Linked DNA regions of Drosophila melanogaster. Changing the gene in region 2 together with the main gene of any one other region gives a genetic interaction. Each region holds a gene or a part of one and is shown on either strand. Other genes may lie near its edges. The genes, in order: SmD3, osk, nanos and Hrb27C.

Region 1 (6,796 bases), on a different chromosome or scaffold from region 2:
TCTGAACCGGCGATTAGATTAGGTCCGCCCCTTGGAACCACACACTCACCGCCTTCAACATGATAGCTTCGGTATAGGATATGGACTTCAATGCCTTCTTCTTCTTCTGTTTCTGCGATGCAAAGCTCTCGGATCGTGTAAACCCGGCGACGCTCCAGTCTCGACTGTTTTTCGGAGACTCTTCCGCCGCCGTTTATATCGTTATCTCCTCATGCGAGTGCCCACAGCCCACAGCCCCTGGCCACCATATCACATAGATGGGGTATATATGTAAATATATTCGGCATGTTTTATCGTTCATTTAATGGGCAGACAGACAGACGCACAGTGGAGTGAACAGCTGTTGAATGATTTTCGGGCCAAGATTAGCTGGGAAAGTACTCAAACCTCACAGTTCTTTTCAAAAATATTACCCAAAACTTTACAATTTAATCGGAAAGAGTAGTCAACTTGAGATACTATCTATCAGGCTCATCAAATCATAGATACAGATACAAAGCATAACTCTCTGTAAGTTACTATATATGGATTGGTTAATATTCTTTAGAAATGTAGCTATGCTTTTGAATCATTGAAGCCAAAAGTGCAATAATTACATTTAAAGCTTAATGTGATCATGACACTTTGATTTTTAAACTGGCTCTTCATTTCAATGAATGACTGCTGAAATCCAATTGATATTGGCGATGATGTCAAATCTCACGCTTTTTTTTATTAATTTAGGAGCCCCCGTTTTTCCAATAACTACTTATCTTCAAGTGACAAACTGTGCAGACTTATCTCTAACAATCGTATTGGGTCACTTTTTAAACAGTAGACGAAATACATATAAAATCTCTCTTATCTGCGAAAGGAAGGTGAGGCAATTGGGTGTATAAATTTAATCATAAGTCTCGACCAAGTTCCACTCGAGATACTTTCAATAAACAATAATAATGCGCACTAAACGCGAGCGTCGTAAACGAAATAATTTAATAATCCGGCCGACAATTCAATAATTTTGTTAAGTCATATGTTTTATTATTGGAATCAAGAAAATGATACATACAAAGTGGTATAAATAAAAGAACTGCTTTCGCTTGCTTGCTTGCGGTGTGGAATCTATTGATTAATAAGTTTATTAATATTGGATATAGCGTGTATGTGGATCCTTTTTGCTGATCTATGTAATTAGCTTCTATGCATATGCGTTTCCCTTTCTATCCTTCAAAACTTCTACCTCGCCGTTCTCGTCGCTTTCGGCGTACAAAAAGTGAATAAAAATATATTGAATATTTTTAAGTGCGAACAAATTGGGATTACAATACTTCATATATAAGCTTAAACATAAAATATATAGAAAAAACATGAAGAAAATATATATGTTGATTAGACATGAAAACATAAATAAAAAATATTGATTCACGAATAAACTTAGGATTAATACATTCCTTTGTTTTGTTTTGTTTTTTTTTTGACATTTTTTAGTTTTCTACTTTTTTTTACGTTTTCGTTCGATTTTTGTTGTTGTTGGATATAGTTTAATATAGTAATTTGCGATCAGGCTCTTAACGTGGCTGGCCATAATTGAAAGTCTACCAAAAATGAAGCCGCTCCGAAGACAATTTTCAAAACGATTTTCGACTACATAAACAACGCGAAGATTCAAAAAGGATTGATTTGCTGATTTTCACTGAACACATATTGAGCTCAATATGTCATTGTATCTACGGCTGGCTAATAAAAGTTATTTGCGGAAACTACGAAACAGAATATTGGATTGCTACTGATATTACTTCTTCTTTGTTTCGTTTCTGTGGCGAAAATCGTCCCCTTGCCGACGAACTACTCCTCGATGCTGTAGAGGAAGTAGTAGTTCTCGTTGTCGTTAATGGCAGCCGGCGGTGCCTGCGGTGCCTTCCTGGACAGCGGCTCGAAGCCCATGAAGAGGAACGCCTCGATGAGGCGAGCTCGATCCGGCTGATCTTTAGGCATTACCATAACGATGCCGTCCACCTCCAGCTTCTCCTCGGCGAACTCCAGAAGCGAGATGAAGGTCTGCTTGGAGCCGGCCGGAGGAAGGTCCTTCGGTAGAGCGACATACAACAAGTTGTTGACTGGGTTCAGAATCGTATTCCAATTGGTGTACTGGTCCTCGGTGACATGCAGCTTGATGGTGATCTGCACCGGCTGGTCGTGCTGCAAGATCTGGCGCAGCACTTCCTGGCAGTCATCGTCCGAGCACAGCGAGTGGATGTCGGGCTGCGACTCCAAGTCGGAGCAATCCGACTGGGAGGACGACAACGACGACGCCCGGGAGCTGGCCTCGTACAGGCTGCCACCAGCCGAGTCGACCGAAGACTTACGGCTGTAGCCTACACGGAAGGAATTAACACATTTTAGCATAATAAGTACTTAAATGGTTAGTTATTATTACTCACCCGTCAAGAGCGATGCCCTATCGTGATCTGTTCTGTGGTGGACAGGGACATCAGGACCACCACAGAGGCCCTACGCCGAGAGAGATGCGGTAGGACTCCGAGGACATGGTCGTGGCGCAAGACGAAGTCGAGATGGTGCGGAGCTTGCCGTCGGCAATTCCGCTGTCATTAAATTCTCTTCTAACGAAGCCACTACTAAACACTGGGTCGCTGTGGAAAAAAAATTGGGTATTTAGTCAAAAAAACCCCATATCGAACTGCGATGTGCCTGTTCGATTTTGTAGCGCAACTCCATCTGTTGGAAAGTTTATATCCCCTTTTTAATGGCAAGCATATAGCGAATATTCCCATGTTTTTATAAAGATTATTTCCCATTTACAAATTACTTATGTGAATTATGAATTGAATTTATAAACCCGAAATCTTTACCACAACATGGTGTAGAGTAAAACTCAATTGGTAACTGAACGTCGCAAAAGCTGCTAACAAACTGATGGCCACGAAGGCAGAACGAAAGGCTTATCAGCGAAGCGGCGACAATTTAATTATTTCGCTTTTATGACGCTAACAAATTGCAGTTGTTTATTTTAAAGCGATAAGATACGCCCGCGCGCCTTATCGGCAAACCGATAAGCTGTTTCCGATAGTCACGCAGCGCATGCAGCCCTGCGCTCACGCACCACCAATTTCACCACAAGATGGCCGCCGGCAGCTGTCAAAGCGGGAGCGAGCACGCAAACACATACACTCGCAAACACTCGGCATAAACGCTTGCACAAAGAAAAACGGAGAAAAAATTTAGCGGTTTCGGTGGAAAAAAAAACAGTGAAAAATATATAGTTGAACGAACAAGAACAGACAGCAACACACCAAGCTAGCGAACATGTCTATCGGAGTGCCCATTAAAGTTCTGCACGAGGCCGAGGGCCACATAATCACTTGCGAAACCATCACCGGCGAGGTGTACCGCGGCAAACTCATCGAGGCGGAGGACAACATGAACTGCCAAATGACCCAGATCACGGTGACCTACCGAGACGGACGCACCGCCAACCTGGAGAACGTCTACATTCGCGGCTCCAAGATCCGATTCCTTATACTGCCCGACATGCTGAAAAATGCCCCGATGTTCAAGAAGCAGACGGGCAAGGGACTTGGTGGGACGGCGGGACGGGGCAAGGCGGCCATTCTGCGCGCACAGGGTGAGTTGGGCACTTTGGCCCACACACACACATACACATTCACTTTTTGCACGGACTGCCTTTAAAAACAAAATATTTTCTATGCTCTCGTTTAACTTCTAAATTTAACTAAAATATTTGCTATCCCAATTTAATAATCCAAATACCATACAATTTTTATGATAGTAAAAAAAATGGTAGTAAAATTTATAGAATTTAATATGTATAAATAGTGCTACAAAAAATATATTAATGCAGGGTTTAGTTTGTTTTAAAAACTGAGCTGATAGTTTTCGTCAAATCATATCCCTCCCATTTAATTCATTAATTTCAAAATTTAAAGTATTAACGTATGGGTAAAATAAGAAACATGCTAAGGTAGTAAGTTTGTGTATATGTTTATTTTTAGAAAGCAAAAACTAAAAAAAAAAATGTTATAAAGCCATGTGCAGTGAAATCTAGAAATGAATTTTGTTTTTAAAGACAGTCGTGCAGTGTATGTGAGGCCCTCAGCGAAATGCAATTATTAAAAACGACATTTCCCTTACAGCTCGTGGCAGAGGAAGAGGCGGACCTCCGGGCGGCGGAAGGGGCACTGGTGGACCGCCAGGAGCTCCCGGCGGCAGCGGCGGACGCGGAGCATGGCAGGGAGGACCAACCGGCGGTCGAGGACGCGGCGGCCTGTAGGAACTGCCTACTGAACAACGCATTTCTATTCTCTAAGTTGCGGGCATCATATTATTAGCGGGCGGGTCGAACTTCTCCAGATGTTTTTTGTAAAGTATTTATCGGGCAGAGCAGCCGAGAATACACTTGAAACTTGAATTTGAAAGAGGCAGACGTTGTTTGTTGTCTAAGTAAAGTAAGCACCTGAAAGGTGGGAAGGGATTAGACACCATAACCAGGGGGACGCTCACAAGTTTGGCTTAAAATTAAGCACTCCAATTCGATTCATTCGATCTTATAATCGTCGCCTTTCGAATGTTATACAAAGAGAGCAATTCCATGACAGTATTACAATCGGTCTTAACTTGACTGTCGACGGATAGCTCTCTTCATTTCACAATTCGCGGAGGATCTGAAAGCGGAAATCTAAGCTAACACCTCAACGGACAGGACACAGTGTTAGGCCAGACGAACTGAATGTGGAACTTGGGTTTAGTCGTTTGGTTAGTCTCATTGCCTCACAGCGCATCGTCGAATATTATACAAAGAGAGCAATTCCATGACAGTGATATTAAATAGTTTCTGGACTGTCGACGGACAGCTCTCTTTATTCACTTATTCGCATTTGGATTCGATTTGGTTCGTTCTAGGTGTTAATCAGACATTCAATGTGGACAGCACAGATACATACAGATACCTATATACTATATAAATGCTTTCCACACATTGTACATACATATGTACATTTGTGTATTGTTTGCCGGCAGACTACGTGCGAAATATGCCAGGCATTTTGTTGTTATGTTGGTTTCCTTTCTGCCAAGCCAATTAAATCAACAAACTGCGCACTTGGCAGAGCATTGTGAATTGAGCGAAATAGAGGCCTGAATGGGAACAGTGACCACCAGCAGCAGCAGATGGATTGGATGCATGTGGTTCAATGCCTAATGAATGCAATTTATGGCTGTGTCTGGGGGTGGGGGGGTTTGTTAGAGTAATAATTCCCCGAATCGATGGCACGTGTGCAAGGCAATTGAAAATGCTTTCGCAATTAATAAAAAAGATGGGGCTATGCTGACGTACCACAAGATTTTCTGGTTCTCGTTCTGAATCTTCTGGTTATCTGGCTGCGCCACCATATCGCTAGACGTCGTCATTGCCAAGTTAAATATTTGGTCTCCGGTTGAGATTTATCACAGCTGCAGTCTACTATCTGTCTCCTGGTATGTGCTCTTTATCTTTTATCACAGATTGCGTTGCTTCGGTCGGTCGGTCCTTCGGCGGAGCTTGGAACTCACATCGAAAAGATGTGGCGATTGGATATCTGTGTGTTATGTGGCGGCCCGGTTTCCGTGCCTCTCCTCCACTGGCGATGTGGAGACTGCTCGCTGATGATCTGTGTGGTGCTGTGCTCTGGGCGTTTGTCTGGCGACTGACGACATCCAAACGGTGGCGGCATCATTTATCTATCTGATTAAGTAGCAGCGACTAGGAGGCCTCACGATATATCTACATACACGTACATACATACATACAAATGTATAATAGCCTAGTTCTATCCGACAGATATGCAAATGTGCCGGAGAGCACGGGTACAGTCGACCCGGTCGGTCAGGGGATGTGGATCTGAATCGGGGTGCGGTGTGAGTCAGAGCCCCAAGGTTAAATGGAGCCCCCTACTTCCCACAAAATACGGGTGAATCGCTAAACAAATAAGGCGCAAATAACTATAAGCAAAAATGCCGGCACACGTAGCATTTGCATTCACAAAGTCGCAATGGGCAAACAAAATAAACGGAGAGAGCTGCCGGCTATAAATATCCATAAAAATTAATATACAAAGTCTAAGAGAAATTCTTTTTTTTTCTGTGGCGCTATTTCAGTCAAAAACATCACCACATTTTTTAGGCTGCACGTGTCTGCCGCTTTTTTTTCGAACAAATGTACCAAAACAAACGAAATAAATGGCTAAAAATGGCTAATAATATTGGCGATAAGTCCCATAAATAAAAGTCTGCTTAATATAAGCAGAGGTATGGACCTAAAGCGGGGTAGAAATCAACGTGAAGAGTTATCTTTATTCTTAATACATATGTATATGTATACAGGTACATACATACATACGTAGTATGTAAACGAACAGCAGAGGTCATCTCAATAACTACAAACGAATACTAATAAAAATACCATTTATCGACAATAAACTGGACTTTATAATTGCTGACGTAGGCTTCTTCGCTTTTTGCAGCTTTGATTGACAATCTTTCCATATGTTTCAGTCTAAACAAATAACAAATATCTGTAGCTCAATTAACAAAGTCAAAAAAAATTGTGTAAACAAGCTCTTTGATATTTTGGTATTTTCCAGGTAGTTTCCATAGAAAATGTATACAAATTTAGAACCAAAAGGATTTCATGTTAATGAAGTTAAACAGAATCTTAATTCACACAGGTTTTATTTTTGTGCCCTTAGCTGTGTGAGCACATTTTTGCCAAAAAAAAAAACGTGTTGCCATATTTTGGTGTAGT
Region 2 (8,804 bases):
CTGCAAAAAAATGAATCACTCAGTACGCGAAATAATTTTGGGGGTGCGCTCTTTACGATGTTCCTGATTGATTGTTGATAGGAACATTTCACGTAAATCGTGTTATCAGTAGACCACAAAGGTTGAAAGTTGAGACAAGGTTATTCGGTCATTCGAGAGATGACAAGCCCTCATTTAGAAAATAAATCAGTCGCCTGATTTTACCTGAATAATAGCAAAAGCAACTACTATCTTTTGATTCTAATAATCTCAATTTATCAAACGAAATGGAAATCAAAATATTCTAGCTTTGCAATTGCTTAAATTTAAATTACAGGTATTTTAAACATTAAAATATATTTTCTTTACCCAAAGTTTATGTATATTTAGTTAGTTTAATTATGATAGACGTCAACTAATGCCGCTTCCATCTTATCAAAGCCCACGTCACTGACCCTTGTCACTTTACGCCGATCAAAGTGTGTTATAGTATAAAACTTGTTATCACCCTTATCATCGGCGGCTGCGTTTCTCTGGTTTGTTTACCCCGTAGTCGGCTATACTCAATGCATATTATTAAGTTCAGGCAAAGTCCAAAACGCACATAAGCCAAAGGAAACAGACGACGCAACGACAACGCGGCACTTTCATTGAACTTTGGACTGCGACTTTGACGCAAATTGTTGGTTGTTTGCCCGCGATTTTGATAATTCCGATTGGGTTTACTCACCGAGGTGTTGGGATCTTGGCCTCATTGAGCAGACTGTAGGAAACGTGTTCCTGGACATTGAGGTTCCTCAGCTGCTGGACGGCGATGGGAGCCAGGCCAAGAATCTGAAAAGGTTGGAATTTTTGCCATGTTAATTTGCGAAAATTAGATGCTAATTAAAGATAACAAGAAAAATAATTAAAAATATATTTAAAAGGATGAAAATAAAAACGATTTCGAAACTTATTGTACTTATAAATGAAATCTTAATTCCAGTCACGAGGTCATTGTCAAGCAAAAATTAAACATAAAAAAACTGGTTCGGTGATTCATGTGAAAAAAACATAAACAAAAAGCGGCGAAAAGAAACGAAATCTGGGTTAAGAGCAAGTTCGTCCGGCTAACGGCGTTTCCCGGTGATAACCGAAACTAATTCACAGATTAAGAATTTAATTAGAGGGCCCGGCGACAACAGCAACAACAACCACAAACGATAAGCAACAGTTGTCAGCTGCTCATTGATAAAAAACAAACTAAATTAAGTGGGGGAATAAATGGGGCTTTCAAGGTCCCCACACACACACATGCGTACGAAAAGCGCACAGTTGCGTCACACTGACACAATAAAAAAGTCAGGTGTCTTTGGTGATCGTGACTCTCTTTAAATCTCACACTCTCCCCGTTTCTCTGGAGAAACAATTAGTTAACAAATGGCAAAGAACTTAAATTATCGCTTAAGTTTTTTTTTTGTACCGATAAACGATCAGCATTTCACATGTGTGAGTAAGTGAGAGACAGAGAAGGGGACAGCGTAGGTGTTCACTCTCTCTTTTCGCCTTATTATGTAAAGCGACGGATTTTCGCATTTTTTACACACAAATATGACTACTAATTGGCGAACTCACCTTTTTTATGGCCGCTGGCCTAACGGTTTCGATCAGGGGGCCGCCAGTTCGTGCCAAGAATGAAGCCATTTTGTTCTGAAATCGAATGAGAACGTACGTTTAACGATTTGAAAGCGAATTTTGACGTTACTGCTTACATTTCAAGATTTTTTTGCCGTCGCCTGCTGATGGAGGTGGTAGAGCTTCGATAGCAGGGACTTTTTTATGCTTTTACAATCGAAAATGCCGAAAAACTATCGTGAACTTAATGCAAGGTTGGAAACTGTAATATATTAGCAAAGATTCAAGCCAATTTGGCGGGAACTTTTAATATTGCATGCCATCTAAATTATTTTTCAACTACCGTTATTTTTATGATAATAATAAATTCGCAAATATAATAATATATTCACAAATGTCACAATATAATCTAGACCACTTTTAAATCGAAATTAGTTCGATTAGTTCCCAGTTACTTTGAACATAGCTTAGAGCAAACAAAATCATTGATTTCCCTTTTATTTTATTTTTTCATTTTTTTTTTGGATTTTACATTGCAGCTTGTTATAGGACAAAAAAAACGTGATCACCATCAATACATACAATTAACATACATTCAAGACAATAAATAAGTTTATAAATAGTAGATAGCTATCTAGAAGACTTTAAAGTAGAGCTGTAAATTACGCCAGAATTCTACACTGTGCTACAAACAAGCGCTTAGTGCGCACTTCCGGTTGGCGTGTCTGCAGCAGAGTGTAAGCATTTTATAAACTTTTTTGCAAACGGAAACAGAAAGACGAAAATCGCGCAAATGCTTCACTTGAATTTGCTTGAGCACATCAATAATAAATCAGCCGCGGCGTTGATTTTGTGCAAGCGAATTTTCCAAGTAAAGCAGTGCATTTTCATTACGGCCAAAATGCAGCATGGCTCATATGTATACGTACCACGCCCACTGCGCCCTTCTTTTTAAGGGCAAGTGGCAGGTTGTGTGATACAGGAGCATGCCGAATTTTGACCCACACAAAAGTATATAGAACAAAAAACAGTTTATAAGCATTGCAATGATTTGCATTTAAGTTCCATTTTGCAGTTTAATCTGATTTGGTAAAAACAGATTTCAAAGCAAAATGGTTTTGGGAAAAGCGGAAAAGTTTGAAGAGAAGTTTTCAGCTGCTTGCGCTTATTTTGCATTTGATTATTTTACACAGCTTTTGGGATAGCAGCAAAAAGTGTGCAGAAAATCAATGGCATTGGCAAAACAAATCACAGACAGCGAAAAATTGAGAAGTTTAAATCTAACATAGAACACAAAACACACAATAATATACAATAATGGACTAGGACAAGTGCACGAACATATAAATAAACAAAGACAGAGAACATACTACATATAAAACATATTAAAACTAAGCGAATTCCGTAAAAGCAGCGATCCATCAGCGTAAATCGTAAAATCATCAAAAAGTTCTTATTTTGTCGGTTCCGGTGCCAGCCCAGTCAAAATTTGCATATATGTATCTTGATTAAGAACCCAACTTAATACTCCAGACTCGTTTCAATAACTTGCAGTACGCGCTGCCGACCGATTTTGTTCCAGAACAGATAGGGTTCCTTGGAACCGGTGACTTGGCGTGGTGAGCTGAAAAGTGGCACAAATCGTAAACTCATATGATATGGTATATGGTATAAAGTCTTACGCCTGAAAGCAATCAAATCGCACCACGCCCCTTTCGTTGATTAGACAGGAGTGTATGTCGATGACCTTTAGGTGACAGCATTCGCTTCGGATAAACTTGTTGAATCGGTAGATTTTGTCACATAATACCTTATCGTGACAATAGTTGCCCAGCGGTGCAAGATTTGTTAGAATCGGCACCAATCGCATATTGTGCATCTCCTTGATCAGTAGCCGAAAATCGTGCTCGATCTGAACCAAAGGCTTGCCGCGCATAATGTCCACCGATCCGATATTGACGATGATCTGAGTACCCTCGGGTAATTGGACTCTTTTTAAACGATTTCGGGCGCCATTGATCGTCAGTCCGGATACACAAAGTCCTGACTGCAGGACGCGTTCGTGACGCCTAAATCGGCATTTTAGCTCCATTCGGGCGAGATATAGCATAAAATCATCGCCCATAAGCGGAAAGTCCAGCAGATAGGCATCGTAATCCGAGTTAATCGTCAGCAGAGAATCGTTGTAGGTTCCACTGGTTAAAATCGTTGGCGTGGGCGTCATTTCGTGGCGTCTCTTCATTATGTTCATGCCGTTAAATGGATGCACAAAGATGCCCAAATGGCGGTTTTCAGTCGGTTCGGTTTTCTGGCTTTGGGTTCTGCAGCTTGGCTGATGCCCAGGTGGAGCCAAATTGATTGGTTCCTCTGGGGCATCGGGGCTGTAGATGTTGATGGGTACTGGCATTTTTGGCGCATTTACGCTGGCTTGCTGGTAGAAATTGTTGCTAGGAGTTCAGTAGAAAGATTAGTACATTTTGTTAAGTAAAGGTTTATTTTTGCTATAGTTGCACTGTCTACAAAACACCTTTTCAGTACTCACAGATGCTTCCAATTATCCTGGTAGCACCAGTTCGACTCCGCTGCCTCATTGGCCATTTGATGCAGCGAAACCGGCCTGGTGGCGATATCCTTGGTCTTTTCATCCGTTATCTTGGGCACGGTCCTCGGGCTGGTGTTCAGCTGGGACAGAGCCCTCCGTTTGAAGGGATTCTTCCAGTAGCGTGGAGGTGCTCGTGGTATGTTCTCCAGGGACGGAGCTCCGCTGCTGTAGTCGCTGGTGCGCTCTTTCTGGTTGAGCACCATATCCAGGAGGTGACCGTTCTTCAGGCTCGCTTTCAGGTTGAAGATCCGCTTACCGGACTCGCTGCACTCAGCGGTCACATTGGGAATGGTCAGCAGGAAATCCGTCACGTTGTCGTGCAGTGGAAATGGATTGCCCGTCAGTTTTCGATATTCACCTGGCGAATTTCAATTATAGAATTATTTAAGGGTAATCTTACAAAAAAGAAACATAGAAAAAATATAAATTAAAATAAATATACTAAACTATAAAAGTTATATAATCCAAATAAAATTTAATAACCTACTAAAAATTTATACATTTTAGATTTCTAACTAAATATAGCCACTTAGAGAAAGTTCTGAAGTGTTTGATGAAGTCGAAACTTCTGGAAAGAAGAAAGCTTTCAAACATAAAGCTACTCACTCTTGATGCTCGATATCGTGATTCCATTCTGGGCGTGGCTCAGCAATATGGCGCGCACCTCACTATCTATATCGGGATATTCCTCGCGCACGGATATATAGTTGCTCTCGATGATGGTCATGTTGTTCTCGCTGGTGTTGCTGTTGCTGTTGTAGGTGATTTCCTTGGTGGAAATCTGAGTGGACGAGAAGAGTCTGGCTACGACTTGCAACTGCTGGCTGCTCTGCCGGCTGGTGAGTTCATGGGCCACCAATGGCACCTTCCACAACTCCGGCAATTCGGTTTTTCGCGCCGATTTGAAGATCTTCCGAAAGCGTTCGCCGCATGCGGAGAAATCGGACCTTACGAAGATCTGGTTGAGGCAGCTGGAGGAACTCTTGCGAAAGGAACCGGATGACTGGAGTTTATCGCGCAACTGCTGGAAACACGTGGTCACCCGCTTTTTCACGGACTTAAGATAATAGGTTTTGGCGGAAGTATTGGTGCTGGTATAACTGATCGGTTTGCTGGGGAATTCACTTGTGACTGCGGCCATCGCTTGGAGGAAAGTGATCCAATATTCTTGGATCCCTCGCCAACGCGGTCCACTTCTCCATTCATCTGCATTTTGGAGACTTACGGTGCTTTTCGTACTGGAAGGCGAAAGAGCAGGCGCAACAGAAGTAACGGTGAGCAGTTTGCAGAGATAATGTTTCCAGATCAACAGAATTTGTGAAAATACATTAGGGTGGTACAACCAAAAAATTTTGAAAAAATAAAAAACTGTTTTCAGAACCTAATATAGAACCTATATATATATATATATATTCATTTTCTTTAATTTTTTTATCAATTTGTTCCCATTCGCCCACCATTAGGTTAACATTCAAAGCAGTCTACGTAGCCAGTAAAAACAATTAAACGAAATTACCACCTGCATTGCCATTTGACGACCATTACACAAAGCAGTTTGCACTCCGTTCCAGCTGGACATTCGTTTTAATGGCCTTTCTCTTGGTCCAGATTAGAAAACAGCACGCCAGTGGGTCTGCAGAGCTGCTTGATAAGCAATTACGAAGTAGCATATACATAAATTCCAGAATAACTCAAATGGTGCCGACGAGCGTTACCACGTGCGGTGGTGCTCTGGTGGTCTGTCGGCTAATCGGCAAATGGAGCTGCTTGGCAGCAATTCCCCAGGAGATGATTATCCATCCATACAGCAAGTGCACCTGAAACTCCGAGAAGGGTAATGGAGGCACTTGCTCTGAGGGTTAGTCCAGCGATTGATGGATGACTCAGGGGCTTTCTTACATCTCGTGATGATTCCGGCACCCCGGAAGAAGCACAGACAATCGGAAGGAGGATTATGGCTTCTTAGCTTAAGCAAGTTGGATACAGTCAAACATCAGTAATGCGTACCAGCAAGAAATTACAAAAATTAAATCAGTAAAAATTTTACTTAACTAGCAGATCAGAATAATAAAAAAATAATTTTCAATAAGGTGTTGATGGGTTCAAAGGGTAATATATATAGAATGGGCAATAGTTAGTGCCACTACAACCTATCTGTAATTTAGGGAAGTACTTCCTTATAGATGTTGGACTGTATATTTTCCCTAGCCTTGCCTTAATTGCAGAGGATGCTGCAGAGACGTGACGAGCAATACAATACTATATGTATGTAGAAAAACTGGGCGAGAACATGTGGTCCAATTTATAAATCTCGACCCTTCTCCCATTTTTATTTGCTGAATGTGTAAGCCCAATAATTTAGAGTGGGATGAATCAGCCGGCTTTTCTTGCCATTCAATTTTCCCTTTTCGGGTGGTGTTTCAAATATTTTGAATGCACTCGCACAGCACAGGGCAATTGTCCGGTAATAATAGTAATTTGCATTCCAGGCCCTCTCTCATTCTCTCTACTCCCAGCTAAGAATTACAGTGGTCACTCGATTGTAAGGTAAGGAATTATACATATATTTATGGTATTTGGCAACCTTCCTTGTATTTCTATAAGCGTAATTGTAGGAAGTAACCACTGAAAAATAAATTTGTTTAATATTTTTAAAGACATTTTCCTACTCTCTTCCTTTCTAACAACTACTACCATGATTGACGACCATTTTTGATTGACAACTTTTGCATTTGCGTGTGGTGGGTGTGCATTGGAAATCGCAAAAAGCAATTTACCGCCTAGATTTGTGAACGACACTTTTCATTGGGTTCGACTGCATTTCTGCATAAATTATGGAAGCCGACGGAGCAACTTGTTGTTATTCTGTCTGCTGTCTTAGAATTTTTACCAGCAGCGAATTCATTTCGCAGAGGGCGGCTAAATGTTGGGGGATAGGCAAATTATTGTAATCAATTTATGCGAACAATTTAGCTATTGCCTCACTTTGGTGGGGCGGAGAGACACCTGTTAATCTGCTGACAGGCGGAAAATCTCAGGAATGCTGATTGCGTTGCACACGATTAACCAGAAGTTCACCCCAATGGCAACTGAATCTGATCGCCTTTCGGCGGCAGCTCCATCACTAATTTCCAGTAATTATCCTTATCCGTTTCCAGAGTCTGGCTTAACATCTGTTATTATTACTCCGCAGCAAATCGATTGATTGCCCTGCAAAAGGGCCTTAATCAGGGCGCCGCAATTCAAACACACGTAATTAGAGCCCTGCTGTAATTCTATGGATGTGGAACACACTGAAGAAAAAAACGGAAAAATAAAACGGAAAATAAATAAAATATACGGAAAGATCGTTCTAGTCAATCAATCCATTTCGATTTGTAATAGTTTGGAATGATTGGAATATGAAGTTAACTTAATTCGAGATTAAGTTCTTGGTCTACAATCAATTTTTGGACAGTGCATGGCTAACTCCTTTATGATGACCGGTTACAGGTTGGCCAACAGATTGTAAAATGGCAAAACACTCGAGATAAACGGCTAAGCATCTGGCTGAGTGTGTGGCCGGTTGGCAATTAATCAAGGCTAGGTGTCGCAGACCGTAAGACTGCTTCCGATTCCGGTTTTTGAACCCCAAGAAAGTCCTCATTATGCCCACACGATATGGTAATTTCGAAGCTGTCTTGACGGAAGGCTGCCAGTCACTTTGGATATTTATTTTCAAAAATAATGAATGCCTGCGTGCACCTTAAGTGTTTATTTTTTAAAGTTTTAAAAATGTATCTTACATTTTTTTAGAATAATACTTCATTACAATTTAAATCACATTTATTTGATTTACTGTTTATTTAAGGGTTTTAATATTTTAGCAAAGGTCAAAGGCAATGTCAATACAAACACAATTTACAAATACAAACAACGATCAGCTTGGAAACGCTTCTGTCAACGAGACGTTGCTTGCCCTGTAGAAAAGACTTTATTTAAAAAAAAGATTTAATGTTGAAGGTGTAAAATTTTAAATTCCTATTCAATAACGGATGTGCGACTTAAGTTATCGATAACTTATTGATGAACCATTTTGTTGTTACTCGCTAGTAATGGCGATTCGTTAGCAGTTAAGAGCTTAAAGGCTAGAACGAAATCCAAATAGACAGACGAAGTGAATTTATTAATGGCCCATCCAAGGACGACAAAAAAATATTCAACAACAGATATAAAAAATAAAAACAAAACACATCACCAAACCTTAACCAAACATAGGTCAGTTTCACGCAGTTCATCAATTTTTAGCTATACTGCTTGCACATTTCCCCGCCAGAAACAGGTTTTTCGCCGCAACGACGCATCTCTGACACTTGCGTTTCCTTTGCAGCTGCTTCGCTCGAATTTGGTTCTCAGTCGGTTCAGATTATCGCGCTTGTGCGGTTGTGCGGAGCGGACGAGTTGAAATGGCCGAGTCGTGAACTTGAAATCTATACAGGCGTTTTAAAACATAAACAAACAAATACGAATGCGAAAGAGCCGGTAAAAGTTTAAATGTTTGATCTCGGAAACATAAATAATTTTTGACCAGCACACACGAATTAAGGAATTTTCAGCTATCGAAGTGCTG
Region 3 (8,389 bases), about 10 Mb from region 2:
GCGGGCACCGTCGTCACTTCCTTTATCAATTAGCTCCTTATCACTCACGCACAGGTTACGCGCCACTCGATCGCTGGATACTTTTCGATGATTAAGCGCTCGTTCGGCTTATTCTGCGGGCCAAATTGTAAATGTTTGTTATATTTCTCCGCCTTGCCAGTTTTACGTGCGTTCGCGACGAGCTTTCCGTGCGGAATGACAAACTCAAGCTGAGAGCCAGCCGAGTTAACCCCAACTCTGTTAACTCTCTGTTAACCGATCGAGGCAGTAACATTGACTTACTGTTGGGGGTATTCGAAACGAAGAAATTACTTAGCATTCTTAACTTTGCTCGGATTTTACCACCTTGCTCGTTAACCGATTGTTAAAGGTATAAATTATTATTATTATTCAGTACATTTTATTCCTGATATGTGCTATTTTGAATAACGAAGTGGGTCATGAATGAATTCTGTGAATTAAAAAATCAAATACTTATAGGCTTTTTTATGCTAATTATTCATCAAATAAAAATGTCTCTAATTTATAATCACTGTTTTTGTCACAAACATCAAAATATTTTTCAAGTTTTTGAGATACATGAATCACATGCATAGAAAACAATGACTACTTAGGTATTTGCAAACATTTTTATTTGAGCAACAAACTATTTTCTCCCTCAAAACAGCAAGTTTATACTACTTATTAACCAAGGTAAAATTAAAATGTTTTACAACTGTCATCGGAAAATAAAGCATTCCATGTTTTAAAAACACCCAATCGAATGGATTATGTAAAAGTATTGGATTTTTTTTATTTTGCCCACTTAGTAGCAAGTGGCGCTTACGGATGCCCGATCCATGGGGCAACCATAAACTTGGATGTCTGTGATTAGGGTAAGGAAACATAACACTTATTTCACAAGAATTCGCCAGCTGCTTAAATGGTACATGTAAAAATATTGAAGTATTTTTATTTTTCTAGACATTCTGAGTGGCGCTCGATGTGTACGTACATACAACTCTTTGGATTCTGTGTGTACAGTCAATTTACGATGCCCAAGCCGCCCTGAGCGAATTCCATATTTACAAGAGAAGGGGGTGGGGATTGGGAGGGGGGGGGGTGTCGGAAAGGGTTGGGGCCTTAAAATACCTAAACTCAACTACACTCAACAATTTGCTTATGGTCACTACTTATACGCCTTATACACCGGCGGTTGCACTTTAAGCTTCAACGTTATAGATTTGGCCAGGACACCAGCGGAGGAACCACGATCCCGACGGCCAATCCCCGCACCGAACACTCCTTCCGTGCTAGCCGGAAGTGGATCGGCGGTGGGCGTGGCCGCAAGGAACGGCCAACCGGGGCGTCATTTGGGATATGAGCCGCGCCGGAGCCGGCAGTCTGCTGTGCCCGGAATTCGTGGGGGAATCGTTCACGGGACCGACCAGCAGCCCCTGCCGGGCGGACGCAGTTGACTAGTGGCGGACAAAACTTTCAAAGCAATCGAAAGCGAAACCTTTGTACACACTTAATAGATTCCTGCGGGTCGAGTTCGTGGTCAGTTCGTCGTCAATGCTCAGTGTCCAGTAATCTTTTCGTTTGTTTTTTGGATGAGAAAATGAGGGAAACTTAAACGGCTCGGTAAAAAAGAAAGGCGTGGCAGCGCGCTAAACAAATTGCTCTGAGCTGTTGGCGGACAGCTCCATCAGCCGCCAGGCAGCCTTGGGGTTGAGTTCGTTGCGGTCGCGGCACAGCACCCAGACGTAGTGAACCCGCATCACCTTCTCCGGATCTCCCTCGACGACCTGACTCTTCTGGTCCCGCACGCACATAATCTGCTGGGCTTGGAACGTGATAATCAGTACCGGGCCCTGCTCCATAACCTTGCCCATTGCCAGTTCAATGTTCTCGATGTCGAGGATCTTGGAGTCCAGGTACACGCCGGCCTTCTTAGCCTCCTTAATGGGATTTGCGATAATATTGAAAGTGCTCTCAAAGCACCAATCCTTCAGAATCTCCAGATCCCCACGGACAATCGATTCCAGAATATTTGGAATGATGTCCGTTTCGCAATCGCGGAGGAAATCCTTCTGATCAAAGCTCGGATCGATTTTCACCAGCTCCGTCATCGTTTCCGAAAGCTCTGTCTTTGAAAAGAGTCCACCCATGACGTCGGACACTTTATCGGTCAGCAGGCGGGAGGCACGAATAACAGGGTTCTCGGACTCGTCGTATTTAACCTTCCAGTCAAGCACCTTGTTCACGTAGGTATTGTTGTTCTTGAAGTTCTCCCACGACTCGTAGAACTTGGAGTCCTTGTGCAGCTCCATACCTGAAAAGTAACATTACATTATGGCCATGACCTTTGATCTTATTGAAGGAAAAAGATGGAGACTCACCAGTGGCTTCCGTGTTGGGCTCCACAACGCGATCACTATCGCTCATGACGAGCTGGACGCGCTTTCGCAACTTGGCAGGAGCACGATAGACACGATTCTCTATGCTCGCGCTGTCCATCTCCTTCTTGATGGTCGTCGTCGTGTTAGAGATAGCCTGGAATGCGCTGGTCTGGCCCAGCTTGCCACTGGTGTCGGAGATCGTGTCGCTGACCCCCCTAGCCTTCTTCGAGAGCTCCTCGGTAACCTTTTTGGCCAGGTGGGATTTGCTGGCGTCCTCCAGAACATCGCCTACGCGCTCCTTGATGGCGCCCAGCTGCTCCTTTAGCATGCTAGACGACTTTTGCGCCTCCGATTCGACAATGTTAAACTTTTGCCGCGCCGATTTCAGGGCATCCGATTCTTCCAGCTTCTGGGCCTCCTCACGGAACTTTCGGATATTGTCCTTGATCTCCTTGTTCTTATCCATCTCCGCCTTCATGTTGTCGAAGAACTGCGAGAAGAAGCCGGCCCTGCGACCTGGCGCACTATAAAAGCGGGGCTGCGGAGTAAAGTCATGACTTAGGCCGGTTGCGCCATGGGGTTTTATGAGCCAAACTCTAACCTGCTGCTGCTGCAGGTTCTGCGAGGCCTGCTGGCACGTGAAGAGACAGGCGCGATCCCGCACAAGGGCAGCTATTCTGTACTGCAAGGAGAAAAAATCATTGAAAGCTTCGACCGTTTTAACCTCGAAATATGCACATGTAAGGACGGATGTGAGCGAACGCCAGTGATGACCGGGATCAGAGGTAACCTACCATGGTGGGGATTAGGTGACCGTTCGCAGGTAGTTTGATCGGAGCGAATGTTCGGGGGGTCTGGCGTCAGAGGCTCTAAACTTTATGTAATTCCTGCCGCGAAACACGCACGTATCAAGCAGTCAGCTGTTCTCTTCGTTCAGCGCGCGCCGGTGTTGCAAAACGAGCGCTCTTCGCCGGCGGTGGCTCGTGCGATAGTTCGTTTTGTCGGTAATCCGATGTTGCCGCGCCGATATCATGTGATGTTGTCACAGTGCGCGAAATTCGAATGGTGGTGTGCAGTGATTGTGTTGTGACGGCGAGTGGCGCGTGTGGGTGCTTAGTTTTGGGAGATGTTTTCGTATTTTTTTGTTGATAACTCAGGCTTTGTTGCTGTGTTGTAGTACTATTTTCCATTGCGCGGTGTCCAGCTTTTAATTAGTGGCACATATTCTTAGCAAGTAAAAATTATTTTGCATACTATTAAATTTCTTATAAATTATTTTCTAAAATTAAGTTTACCTTTTCAATTTTACTAAAAATATCGATATATTTATTATCGCTGGAAAACTACATTATTCCACCTCTAAGCAAGAACCGTTAGTTGGCGCGTAGCTTTACCACAAAATTCCTGGAATTGCCGTACGCTTCGCAGTTGTTTCAAGTTGTCTAAGGGACATACGATTTTTTTTGCCTCTGCGTCACGATTTTAACCCAAAAGCGAGTTTAGTTACATGTACATTATTATTAGATAAAGAAGTATCGCGAATACTTCAGTTGAATAAACTGTGCTTGGTTTTTGGGTGAGGATTTGTGGAAAGTAGAGTGCGCGATAACCGTAACTTTCGACCCGGATTTTCGCCATGTTCCGCAGCAACTTGGAGGGCAGTGGCGCAGCAGCAGTAGGTGTTGCAAATCCCCCCTCGTTGGCTCAGTCTGGAAAGATTTTCCAATTGCAGGATAACTTTTCTGCTTTTCACGCCAGAGGAGGGCTCAACATTCTGGGCCTGCAGGACATGTATTTGGATACCAGTGGGGCCAACTCGTCGGCCACTTTGAGTCCGCCCATTACGCCGGTGACCCCTGACCCGTCGACGTCTGCGCAGTCGACGCACTTCCCTTTTCTGGCCGACAGCGCAGCCACCGCCAATTCGCTCCTTATGCAGCGACAGTACCACTACCACTTGCTGCTCCAGCAGCAGCAGCAACTGGCCATGGCGCAGCACCAATTGGCGCTGGCTGCATCAGCGGCAGCGGCTAGTGCGAGTCACCAGCAAACGGACGAGATTGCGCGATCCTTGAAAATCTTTGCGCAGGTGACGACGGGCGCAGCAGGTAAGAAGAAATGGCGAATATGGCGTCGTTTAAAACAGAATAGCCAAAAACAGTGCGCGGGAGCGAGATGACTATCTGTACAAGTACAGTTATGCCAAAGTCAATGGCCATGGGCTTAGTTAAAGGGGCAACGAAAGCACAGAGCAAAACAGAAGTAAAATTGTGTAAATGTATAATTGCTGCAGAGGTCAGAGGATTTTCGCCATTTAGTGTAGTATATTTTTTATTTTACTATTTTGTATGTGCTTTAAAATATATCTTTGCCCAACACTTGTATCCCCTTCAAGAGGTTTTTCGAGCGCCCCTGAATTTTCGGCCATTGACCTTAGCATTTTCGCTATTCCTTTTTGTTTTAACTTCGGAAAGCCATTTTGCGTCTTACATTTTCTAGAAGTTCTTTGCTTTTTCTCGTCTGTTCTTGTTTTTTTTTTGTATGCAAAAACTAATCCGTATTTGCTTATTACATTTCTGAAATGCAATTGAAACGCGAATAATAAAAAAAATACGTTCAGGACAAGGTAATGAAAAGCTTGCTATTCCCAGAAAATGCGGCTGGCTCGATGCAGGATGTGATGCAGGAGTTCGCGACCAATGGCTATGCCAGCGATGATCTCGGTCGCATGTCCTACGGGAGTGCTCCGCCACAGGTGCAAATGCCACCGCAGCAGCAGCATCAGCAACAGCAGGGGCTGCACCTGCCACTGGGCCGCAATCCTGCCCAGCTGCAGACCAATGGCGGCAACTTAATGCCCATTCCACTCGCCACCCACTGGCTGAACAACTACCGGGAGCATCTGAACAACGTGTGGCGAAACATGTCGTATATACCAGCCGCTCCCAATACAATGGGTTTGCAGGCCCAAACAGCGGCCACTGTGTCCACCAATCTCGGCGTGGGAATGGGTCTGGGATTGCCCGTGCAGGGCGAACAGCTGCGCGGAGCTTCCAATTCCAGTAACAATAATAACAACAACAACAAGGTGTACAAGCGTTACAACAGCAAGGCCAAAGAGGTGAGTGGATCTGATCCAGGATTCGCAGAATTAAAACTTGCAAAATATATTTGTTATCTTGTTTCTCCAACAGATCAGCCGCCACTGCGTCTTTTGTGAGAATAACAACGAACCAGAGGCGGTTATCAATAGCCACTCAGTGCGAGATAACTTTAACCGAGTGCTGTGCCCCAAACTACGCACCTACGTGTGCCCCATCTGCGGGGCATCTGGGGACTCGGCGCACACGATTAAGTACTGCCCCAAGAAGCCGATCATCACCATGGAGGATGCGATCAAGGCGGAATCGTTCCGCCTAGCCAAGAGCAGTTACTACAAGCAACAGATGAAGGTTTAGAGAGGGCGAATCCAGCTCTGGAGCAGAGGCTCTGGCAGCTTTTGCAGCGTTTATATAACATGAAATATATATACGCATTCCGATCAAAGCTGGGTTAACCAGATAGATAGATAGTAACGTTTAAATAGCGCCTGGCGCGTTCGATTTTAAAGAGATTTAGAGCGTTATCCCGTGCCTATAGATCTTATAGTATAGACAACGAACGATCACTCAAATCCAAGTCAATAATTCAAGAATTTATGTCTGTTTCTGTGAAAGGGAAACTAATTTTGTTAAAGAAGACTTACAATATCGTAATACTTGTTCAATCGTCGTGGCCGATAGAAATATCTTACAATCCGAAAGTTGATGAATGGAATTGGTCTGCAACTGGTCGCCTTCATTTCGTAAAATGTTCGCTTGCGGCCGAAAAATTTCGATATATCTACAATTGATCTACAATCTTTACTAAATTTTGAAAAAGGAACACTTTGAATTTCGAACTGTCAATCGTATCATTAGAATTTAATCTAAATTTAAATCTTGCTAAAGGAAATAGCAAGGAACACTTTCGTCGTCGGCTACGCATTCATTGTAAAATTTTAAATTTTGACATTCCGCACTTTTTGATAGATAAGCGAAGAGTATTTTTATTACATGTATCGCAAGTATTCATTTCAACACACATATCTATATATATATATATATATATATATATATATATATATATATATGTTATATATTTATTCAATTTTGTTTACCATTGATCAATTTTTCACACATGAAACAACCGCCAGCATTATATAATTTTTTTATTTTTTTAAAAAATGTGTACACATATTCTGAAAATGAAAAATTCAATGGCTCGAGTGCCAAATAAAGAAATGGTTACAATTTAAGGAAACAAATGTCCTTCTTGCGTTTGAAACAACTAATCCTTTTCGCCCTCGCGGCGTTTCTCGAAAAGGGCCAGGAAGATGCCATCGGTAAGATCACTGTCCGGCTGGCAATACAGGACGTTCTTGCCAATATTGGGATAGTCCTTGTCGCCCACATTGTGCCACTTGTTGCGCAAGGCCTTCTTGCAGCTGAGCAGCTTGAAGGATGGATTTAGCTGAAGACAACGCTGCACCACCTGCTCGTTTTCCTCCTTCCACAGCGAACACGTGCAGTAGGCAATGCGTTTGACGTTCGGAAAGGCGCCCATCGCGTGCGACAGGATCTTAATTTGCAAACCCTGCAGCTTTTGCAGCCGCTTGTCCTCCTTCGGCTCGTCGCACACGGTCATGCGGTTTTGCATTCCGCTGCCAGAGCAACTAGGGTCCACCAGGATGTACTCTACGTCCGGAAAGCGTTCGGGTGCTGAAATTCAAACGTGTTACTTTTTTAAATATTCATTGTGAAATATATAAATATAAAACTCACTTAGGTTCAAGGCGTCTCCCAAAATGGGTTTTACAATATCGCAACCAGCATCCTTTGTTATTTCGCACAGCGTATTGTAGCGTACGTGGTCCTGCTCCACGGAGTAGATGCATCCCTTGTTCTGCATCACATTGCATATGTGCACTGTCTTCATACCGGGAGCTGCGCACATATCCAGCACAGTGGCCCCAGACGGCGGAGCAAGTAGTTCGGCGGCCAAACAGGTGGCCTTGTTCTGCAGTATAAACCTCTTGCTGTGCACCAACGGATGGCGGACCCAGTAGTTGGACCACTTGGCAGGAAAAATGAGCACACCCTCAACGTGCAGATCGGTCATGAACTCGTTCTCCGCCAGCGATTTGATGGCAGTCAGAAAATCCGCATAGCTGGCGTCCGCAGGCAGCTCCTTGCGCCGCCAGTCGCTTTTATGCAGGTAGTCCAAGGCCTCCGCCAAGCTGTATAGATTTGTGTTGATGCGCACATATCGAGGATTGGGTTCTGTGTGGGCAAACAAAAAGACGAGTTCAAAATTGTAGCCAAAGTAAGATTTATTAAGAGTTGTTAAGAGTCGTTACTGGTCCTTTAAACGATCGAAATAATCTGGACTTGGCTGGCAGCACTTAAGTTACTGTTCTTTCTTTGGCTCCGCAGCTTCCGGCTCGTCGTCCTCATCCTGCTGCACGGGTTCCAAGGGTGGTGGGGGCTTCTCGCGGAAAGCCTTTAATACATACATGGCCACCACGAGGTTAACAACCACAACAGCCGTGAGAACTGACCAACAGTTGACCGTGAAAAGGTCCAAATGGGGGAAGGACTCCTGCAGCCAGCTGCGGACGCCATAGAAGCCCAAGAAGGGCAGCGTGAACATGAGCACACTGTAGGCCAACAGCCAGAGGAAGACCTCCGCACTGGTGTCCTCCTGCTGCGTATGATGCTCCACGGGAGAATCAATGACAGCCGGGGAATCATCAGTGGTAGCTGGCACCACATCGACATGCTGTTGTTTCCTGTTCTTCTTGCCCATCTCAGCCGGCTAATACTGGTAATCGGTGTGATAACCTGCCTTTTCGCTGGACACCGAAATCTCTGATGGAATTTAGCAGTCGATCCTTGTAACTTCGCACCGTTTGCACGGGTTTGCTTTCG
Region 4 (8,203 bases), on a different chromosome or scaffold from region 2:
GAGTTAGGTGGCATGTTCCACGAGTTCCAGCTGCCGCCGCCCGATGGTCCCGAAGGAGCTCCGGTCGACGTCGAGTTATACATGTCGTATCCGCCGTAGCCCTGCGTCTGCTGAGGTCCAGCGTAGTTCGACCACTGCGGTGGTGGTCCCTGGGGTCCTGGTGGAGCTCCCCATCCCTGGTACGATCCTGGGCCACTGTTGCCGTAGCCGTATTGTTGCTGCTGCGGCGAGGTGCCCCAACCCTGATAGCCAGGCATCATATTCGGCGCTCCAATGGGCATATTCAGCGGCGGTCCACCCATCTGGCCATTCTGGCCCTGCATCATGTTGATGGGAGCATGGTGCGGTCCCCAGTGGCTGCACTCGTTACCAAGCTTGCCATAGGCGCCTCCCACGGTACTGTTGTTGGAGTTTTGGCCGCCAGATCCATCACGAGGCTCGGCCTTCTTGATTTCGACCTGGGGATAATAATGATTATTAGTGCTGTTGCCAAAAATGTTAACTTATATTCTTTGTACAATTAATTGTTAGTGTATTCTTTTGAGCGTTTTTAAGTAAAAATTATTTCCAATATGTTTTGTTACAAATAGCACTCTTGTATTATATGAAACAAAGTTTAGTAAATCGAAAAAAATTATGAATATTCCATATTCACAATTTATAGTTTTGCAAGACTAGATGCTTCGCAGAAATAGGTAATTATGTTTTGTAAGTATAGCACAACTTTCCAGCGATCACATACCTGCTTGCCATTCAGATTGATGTACCGCTCGTTGGTCACGTGCTCAACGGAGGACTCCTCCTCGAAGGAGAGAAAGCCGAAGCCGCGGGACTTCTTCTTCTCCTGGTCGTACATGATAACCACCTCGGTGACCTTGCCGTAGCGGTTAAAGAAGGTCCGCAGATCGGTCTCGGTGACGTTCGAGGGCAGGCCACCCAGGAAGACCTTGTAGCCGCCGCCCTTCTTCGGTTTCTGCAGAGTGCGCGGATTGCACGGCTTGGGGTCGATGGTGCGACCGTCGAGCGTGTGCGGTCCGTTCTGCAGCACGTGGTTGACGTTGGTGGGATCGGCGAAGGTAACGAAGCCAAAGCCGCGCGACCTGCCGCTCTCGTTGTTCTTCATCACCACACAGTCAATGATGTCCCCGAAGCGGCAGAAGTAGCGCGACAGGTTCTCCTGCGTCGTCTCCCAGGATAGACCGCCCACAAAAAGTTTGCCCCTCTCGTCTTCCTCCATGATGTTGTTTTGGTTGTGGTTGTGAGCTATGGCGCCGGGTAGGTTCTCAATAATTGACGTAATCTTGCCGCTTTTTTATTAACACGGGGTGCAAAGAAATTAACTTGTGTTCGGTTGGTTGCCTGTTTTGGGGGAGAATATACAATTTTTACACTGCTGCTGGTATTTTTTTTTTGTGTTTTTTTTTATGTATTTATGTTTGTATGTATTTTATGTATGGGTTGTCCAAAAAGTAATTGCGGATTTTGTAAATGAAAGTAAATGCATTTTTAATAAAACTTCGAATGAACTTTAATCAAATATATTGTTCGATAATCTTTTGCCATCTTTCTGGCGAACATCCGAATTAATCGTTTGGTTCCTTGGAAGCAGCTAAAAATATACGACACCCTTCCAATACCACCAAACAGACAGCATAACCTTCTTTTGGTGGATATCAGCCATTGAAGTGAAACGGATCGAATTCATTGCGTTTAAGGTGCTTATCACAAGCGTTGATTCGGTGTGTTAAATGAATTTCTTTCAATACATGTGGTACCCAAATATCAAGCTTTTTCACCAGTCCAAGACTTTTTATAATGAACGGTTGATTTTTGGTATATTTAACTTCTCTCCTATCTCACGCTCAAGTTACATGACGATCTAATTCGATAAATAATAATGCTTTGATTTGGTCATCATCAACTTCATTTGGCCTGAACGTGGCTCATCTCTAAGTGAAAAATCTCCAGAACGGAATTTGCGAAACCAATTTTGACACTGTCTTCCTTTTAAGGCTTCATCACCATACCATCGTATCTCTCGTAACTTTCTAGCAACCTTCTCCGCGTTTTTTCCTTTACGGAAATAATAAAGTAAGATATGACGAAAATGCTCCTTTGTGGGCTCCATATTAAAATTGACGCCAAACAAACAAATAAAAACAAAATTTCGCGCACTTTTTTTTCTAATGGAAGCTAAAAGTAACAGCTGATAACTGACCAAAGAAAGAATGCAATTACAGAGTTACAAGCCGTTGAAAAAATTTGTCAACGCCGACTATATGAAAAATCCGCAATTACTTTTGGGCAATATCTTACTTTTTGGGCAATATCTTAGGTTGGTTTCAACGTTGCCAAAGTTCTTTTTTCCTTCAAAACAATTAAACAAAAGCCACGACGTTCACACGTAACTTTCTATCGTAACAATATCGATGTCGTCGGTTTGTTTTTGTTGCAGGCACATGGAAAGATACACATAGAATATAAGAAATCCGGTTAATCGAATTGCTACACAGGAAAAAACAAGGTGGAATAGTTAATTTGGTTATTTGCAAACTGACGTTATTAAAATTAAAGGCCAGGGCTATGGTTGAAATTTTTTTAAATTTACATTTCCTTCGGAGACAATATTTCTTGCTGTGTAAAGATCTTTGGTGCGAATGGGTAGAAATGGTCAGATGACAAAAAATTCACGCATAGTTATTATGAAAGGCACAGGTAGGAACAAAAAAAAAAAAGAGAAAAAAGCGGCAGAAGCAACCGGCCGGTACACATACACACAAACACACGCAGCTGAAGAGATTCCGCCGTACACGTGTATGTGTGTTTGTCGTCTAACTGCTTTTTGTACACGTTCACAAGTTTGCTCCTCCTTCGACACCCCAACACTACTCTCATCCCCTTTCACTCGTTTTTGAACGGCTACGTGAAAGTATTGTTTTCTTTTCGCTGTGTCACGAGCGGAATGGTTGTTGTTGTTGTTGTTGTAACAAATCCCCAGCCTCACTCACACACCAGCACACATGCCGCCTATCAATGAGAACAACGAACTTATGTATTTCCAAGGTGAAAAGAGAGCTGTCGCCGGTTCACCACATTTGCGCGCCATTTGCCAGGGTATTACAGATTACAGCCAGATGTGGGCCAAGTAAACATCTACAGGAGTATATTTAAATTTTTGTGCAAACGCCAATGAACAACGGGTTTAAATTCACTTTGTTATCAAGAAAATCCCGTTTTCTTTACTGGCAGCACTTCGCAGACATTTTGCCCATTAACAAGTGAAAAAACATGTGGCAACGCCATGTGTGACGTGAACGCGAATGGAAAGCGAAAAGCAAACGTACCAAAAACCAATGCCCTCAAAATAAATGTTAATTCCATCGAAAGAAAAAACAAACAATTCTTTTTCGAGTTTTCCTCCAGCTTTAAACGATTAATGTTTTATTGTTGTTGCTGGCTGAGTACTCACGACTGAACTGAATGAATCGCACTGGCAGTGTGTGGGAAATTCACCACGGCAAAGGCAACGAAGAAAAAAAAACAAAATGGAAGACGTGCCTTATGAAAAATGATACAACAAAGAAGTCTCAAGAAATGTCTTGGGTCTCAGTTCTTAGAAAAGGGAACAAACGCATTTCACTGTATTTTTACGCTTTTCGTTTTGTTTGGCCAGCCAGGCGGTTTAATCGATGGGGCACTCACTAATTCACGAATGCACTTTCACGCCGGGTACACTTTTGACACTTGGGCTTTCGGGCCGGAGAAATAGGAGCGAAATTAACCAAGATTTCTAATACGCAATTTTACGAATTTCGCACGATTTTTGTATTTTGCACCGCAATCTGCTGGCGTGTGTGAGTGCATGAGTTGGCCGTACGTGTGTGCGCGTGAGAGCGTGTGTGTGCGCGAATGGCCGCCGAGCGCTGTGCAATGGTGTGCGTGATCGTTGGTGTGGTGTTATACATAGCATTTTTTCGTATGTATGTATAAAAATATGAAATTTTCCACTTTGATGGGTGGAAATAGAGTGCCGAAAGTGGCACGAAAAATCGCTGAAAATTGCACAAACCTCTGTTTGTCGAGAAATCCGAAAAGGCGAAGAAACGATTCGAACGAATCGAGCCAATTTTACCCCACACACAAACACACGCGCACACCGAGCAATGGCAGCTGCGTCAAGTATTCAGGCGTTTTTTTTGGAAAGGAAAGGCTAGGCAGGCATTTTGTTAAAGCACTGTAATTGTTATGTAAATGCGATTTTCGGTCGCTTTTCGTTCTTACCGTTTGTGCCAAGTGTTCGTCTGTGGTTTTTTAAAGATTTCGCACTGCAAATTCACTAAATTTAAGTGTTTTTTCCTTAAAAAACTAGCTTATAAATAATTGTATGATTTTGATGCATACGATATTATAACCTAACTTATATGATAAATCGCCGCCACGTTTAATGCTGTGTGACCGCCGCCAGCCAAAAAAAATACCTCAAGTTGCACGGAATATACTAAAACATACTCCACATATATTCTGAATCTAACAGATACTAGAAAACAAATTTAAATTACGAATTTATATCTATCTTTTAACACGAAGGCTAAATATAAAGGAAGTTAAAGGGGACTGGTTAAAAAAATGTATTATAAATTATTTACATTAAAATGTAATTGTGCAGTACAATAATATCTTAAAGGTGAAAAATGTAATAAGATGTGTGTATATGATTTGTATGTACTATACTAAAAAAGGTTTTATAGTCGCTTTCTTTAGGCGGATGGAATGTTTTGAAAGGAAAAAATAATTTTGAGTATTTTTTTCGTAGGAGTTGAAAAGGAAATATTTAGATTTTCATTTTTCGGCCCTGGAAGTTATTGTTGCCAGACACTCCCGCCTTTTGCTGACCGTTACCCGCGGATTGAGCATAACTTTTGGTATATTTTTAGCGAGTCCGCAGTTTCTTTTAATGGTCTGTCCACGGTCACTCTGTTTGCTACCCGGTAAAATGAGTTTTGCGCTGCATTAAATAGAAAATAAACACAAAAATTCGCATCTGCCGACCGTGTTAAGTGACTAAAAGTGTTCGCCAGTGCGCGATTGACCGACCAAAGTGCCCAGGAAGGCGGTGGCAAGTGATTCCAACCCATCATCGATTTTTTTCTGCGCTGCTGCCACATTAATTTGGGCCCGGGGAAAAGCGAAATAAACAGAAATGTCGCGCCATCCGAGCGATAGAAAGGTGTACGTGGGCGATCTGGGCAACAATGCCCGGAAGAACGACCTGGAGTATGTATTTGGAGCGTACGGCAGTTTGCGCAGCGTCTGGATAGCCCGCAATCCGCCGGGCTTCGCCTTCGTGGAGTTTGAGAGTGCCCGCGATGCGGCGGATGCGGTGCGCGGATTGGACGGACGGACGGTTTGCGGGCGCCGAGCCCGTGTGGAATTGTCCACCGGAAAGTATGCTAGGTCCGGCGGTGGTGGTGGCGGAGGTGGTGGAGGCGGTGGTGGTGGAGGACTCGGAGGACGCGACCGAGGCGGCGGTGGTCGTGGGGACGATAAGTGCTACGAGTGCGGCGGACGGGGGCATTTCGCTCGCCACTGTCGCGAAAGGAAGGCCAGGCAGCGACGCAGGTAAGCGCAATTCGCATTTGCAATTCGCCATTTCAATTTTTCATTCATTGTCGTTGCCAAAAACTTCTTGCTTTTTGTAACATGGCGAGAGAAAGGCATACATACAAACAAACGCATACATACATACATGCATGCTTGTGTGTATGCGCATGCAAAAATGTTGAGTTTGTTTGGGCACCTCTGTCGCCTGTTAAAACTAACAGCGTGCTGTTATGCGCAATGAGTGCTGTTAATCCCAGCGCATGAAGTAGTTCTGTACCATAACAGCACGCACACGTGCTCGGGTGGCATACCCATTAATATCGATATGAGAAGTATATAGCTTCTACAATTGTCTAACAAAATCATGCTTGACAACAGTAGTTATCTATTCAGATAGTAATAACAGAATTTTGTTTTTAAGTCTATTATATAGACTATTATAAGTCTAATATATTGTAAAAATGTAAACACTTTCGTGATTAATAAATATATAAAATATATATATTTTATACTCTTGAGCACAAGAATTTGTCCGTAAATTGCACAAAAGCTTACAAATAGTTACGTGACAATGATTTAGCGAAGTCCTCTAATATATTTAATATTGATATTAAAGTTTGATTGATTTGATTAGAAATAGACAAATTAAAATAAGTGGTAAACAAAAGGGTAGCAGGCGGCTGCAAGACACCCTCCTACGCTATTTTCCCCGCGCTTTTACGTTCGTGGTGAATTAATTACAGTGGTGCTGTTATGCGCGAACCAAGTGGCAACGCCGTAGACCGAAGGCACACGTGCTTGCACTTCATTTTGGATTTTTCTTTTACACGCGGCATACGGAAAAGAAGGTTAAGTTGCTGCTGGCTGCCGAGAGTTTCGGTGGTTTTAAATTGAATTAAAATTGAAACTAAATGAGCAGAGCGTAACGCGATGTTTGTGCTCTACGAAACGCCGGCGGGCTACGCGATTTTCAAGCTGCTGGACGAAAAGAAACTGGAGCAGGTGGACAATCTGTACCAGGAGTTTGAGACTCCGGAGAAGGCCAACAAGCTGCTGAAGCTGAAGCACTTTGAGAAATTCAATGACACCACAGAGGCGCTGGCCGCTGCAACGGCGGCGGTGGAGGGCAAGGTAGCCAAGCCGCTGAAAAAGACACTCAAGAAGCTGCTCGTTGACGACGTGCAGTCTTCGCTCTTGGTTGCCGATGCCAAACTGGGCACAGCCATCAAGGACAAACTGTCGGTACAGTGTGTCTGCAACACTGGCGTCCAGGAGCTGATGCGCTGTATTCGCCAGCAGGCGGACAGTCTGCTTGGTGGTCTGCCCAAGCGTGAGATGACCGCCATGGCCCTGGGTCTTGCCCACTCCTTGTCGCGCTACAAGCTTAAGTTCTCGCCCGACAAGATCGACACAATGATTGTGCAGGCCCAGTGCTTGCTGGATGACCTGGACAAGGAGTTGAACAACTACATGATGCGTGCACGCGAGTGGTACGGTTGGCACTTTCCCGAGCTGGGCAAGATTATTACCGACAACATTGCCTTCGTGAAGACCATCAAGTTGGTGGGCACCAGGGATAATATGGCCACAAGCGATCTGTCCGACATTCTGCCAGAAGATGTGGAGGAAAAGGTCAAGGAGGCAGCTGAGATCTCTATGGGTACCGAAATCTCCGAGGAGGATGTGCTGAACATTCAGTGTCTGTGCGACGAGATCATATCGATCAACGATTACCGCACCCACTTGTACGACTACTTGAAGGCCAGAATGATGGCCATGGCTCCGAATTTGACAGTGCTCGTGGGCGACACCGTCGGCGCTCGACTGATTGCCCATGCTGGCTCGCTGATTAACCTGGCCAAGCATCCCTCATCTACTGTACAAATTCTGGGCGCCGAGAAAGCACTCTTCCGTGCGCTGAAGACCAAGAAGGATACTCCAAAGTACGGTTTGATCTATCACGCCCAGTTGGTGGGACAGGCAAGCCAGAAGAACAAGGGCAAAATGTCGCGTTCACTGGCCGCCAAAGCGTCGCTTGCCACGCGTGTTGATGCCTTTGGCGAAGAGGCTACCTTTGAGCTAGGAGCGGCTCACAAGGTTAAACTGGAGTCTCGGCTGCGACTCCTGGAGGAGGGCAACCTGCGCAAACTCTCCGGCACCGGCAAGGCCAAGGCCAAGTTCGAGAAGTACCAGGCCAAGAGGTATGTTTTAGCTGTCAATTATATAAGAGTAAACAGATTTCCAGTGATGATACCCAAAAGGTTTCGCATGTATCCGATTAAGATGACGATAAACCTTGGCTGTCTGAGCGAAATTGGGTTTACAATCAGGCTATCTCTCGATTGTTCAGTGTATTTAATTTATTTCTTAACTTTTTAGCGAGGTGTTCACCTACCAACCAGAGGCCGACAACACCTTGAACGTGAAGAAGAAGCGCAAGCACTCCGAGTCCGAACAGCAGACGCCTGTTAAGAAGGAGGAACCTGCTGAGGAGGAGGCGGAGGTCAAGTCCGAGAAGAAGAAGAAAAAGAAGAAGAAGCAGAAGGACGAAGAGGTGGAGGCCGTTGAGGAGGCGGCAGCACCAGAGCCCGAGGATCAGCCA

What was found.
Region 1: of osk (region 2) and SmD3, changing one suppresses a phenotype caused by changing the other (phenotypic suppression), as found in Drosophila melanogaster (one study listed by BioGRID).
Region 3: of osk (region 2) and nanos, changing one suppresses a phenotype caused by changing the other (phenotypic suppression), as found in Drosophila melanogaster (2 studies listed by BioGRID).
Region 4: of osk (region 2) and Hrb27C, changing one enhances a phenotype caused by changing the other (phenotypic enhancement), as found in Drosophila melanogaster (one study listed by BioGRID).

The regions. Positions count from the first base shown.
Region 1 is NT_033778.4:12,165,574-12,172,369, forward strand, and holds SmD3 (small ribonucleoprotein particle protein SmD3), read left to right. Parts: upstream 1-3,157; 5' UTR 3,158-3,303; coding exon 3,304-3,622; intron 3,623-3,984; exon of another isoform or gene 3,985-4,151; coding exon 4,152-4,288; 3' UTR 4,289-4,430; downstream 4,431-6,796.
Region 2 is NT_033777.3:8,931,678-8,940,481, reverse strand, and holds osk (oskar), read right to left. Parts: upstream 5,357-8,804; 5' UTR 5,337-5,356; coding exon 4,802-5,336; intron 4,767-4,801; exon of another isoform or gene 4,683-4,766; intron 4,554-4,682; coding exon 4,136-4,553; intron 4,041-4,135; coding exon 3,276-4,040; intron 3,218-3,275; coding exon 3,115-3,217; 3' UTR 2,087-3,114; downstream 1-2,086. Other genes in the region: ScsbetaA (Succinyl-coenzyme A synthetase beta subunit, ADP-forming), read right to left, coding at 710-813, 1,594-1,662. UniProt on the Drosophila melanogaster protein: Organizes the germ plasm and directs localization of the posterior determinant nanos. Oskar protein is required to keep nanos (nos) RNA and staufen protein at the posterior pole.
Region 3 is NT_033777.3:19,153,484-19,161,872, forward strand, and holds nanos (nanos), read left to right. Parts: upstream 1-3,754; 5' UTR 3,755-4,017; coding exon 4,018-4,489; intron 4,490-5,032; coding exon 5,033-5,502; intron 5,503-5,575; coding exon 5,576-5,839; 3' UTR 5,840-6,126; coding exon of another isoform or gene 6,127-6,222; 3' UTR 6,223-6,719; downstream 6,720-8,389. Other genes in the region: CG11779 (uncharacterized protein), read right to left, coding at 1,650-2,314, 2,382-2,919, 2,983-3,063, 6,127-6,222; Nsun5 (Nop2/Sun-like domain containing protein 5), read right to left, coding at 6,750-7,180, 7,244-7,741, 8,307-8,389; CG42359 (uncharacterized protein), read right to left, coding at 7,869-8,267. UniProt on the Drosophila melanogaster protein: Maternal RNA-binding protein that is required for germ cells proliferation and self-renewal. Acts by forming a complex with pum and brat that regulates translation and mRNA stability.
Region 4 is NT_033779.5:6,916,940-6,925,142, reverse strand, and holds the start of Hrb27C (heterogeneous nuclear ribonucleoprotein at 27C), read right to left. Parts: upstream 4,440-8,203; 5' UTR 4,282-4,439; intron 4,178-4,281; exon of another isoform or gene 4,070-4,177; intron 3,884-4,069; exon of another isoform or gene 3,703-3,883; intron 3,505-3,702; exon of another isoform or gene 3,345-3,504; intron 2,413-3,344; exon of another isoform or gene 2,409-2,412; 5' UTR 2,317-2,408; intron 1,360-2,316; 5' UTR 1,238-1,359; coding exon 743-1,237; intron 459-742; coding exon 1-458. Other genes in the region: nop5, read left to right, coding at 6,532-7,802, 7,981-8,203; x16 splicing factor, read left to right, coding at 5,201-5,619. UniProt on the Drosophila melanogaster protein: This protein is a component of ribonucleosomes. Could be needed to organize a concentration gradient of a dorsalizing morphogen (Dm) originating in the germinal vesicle.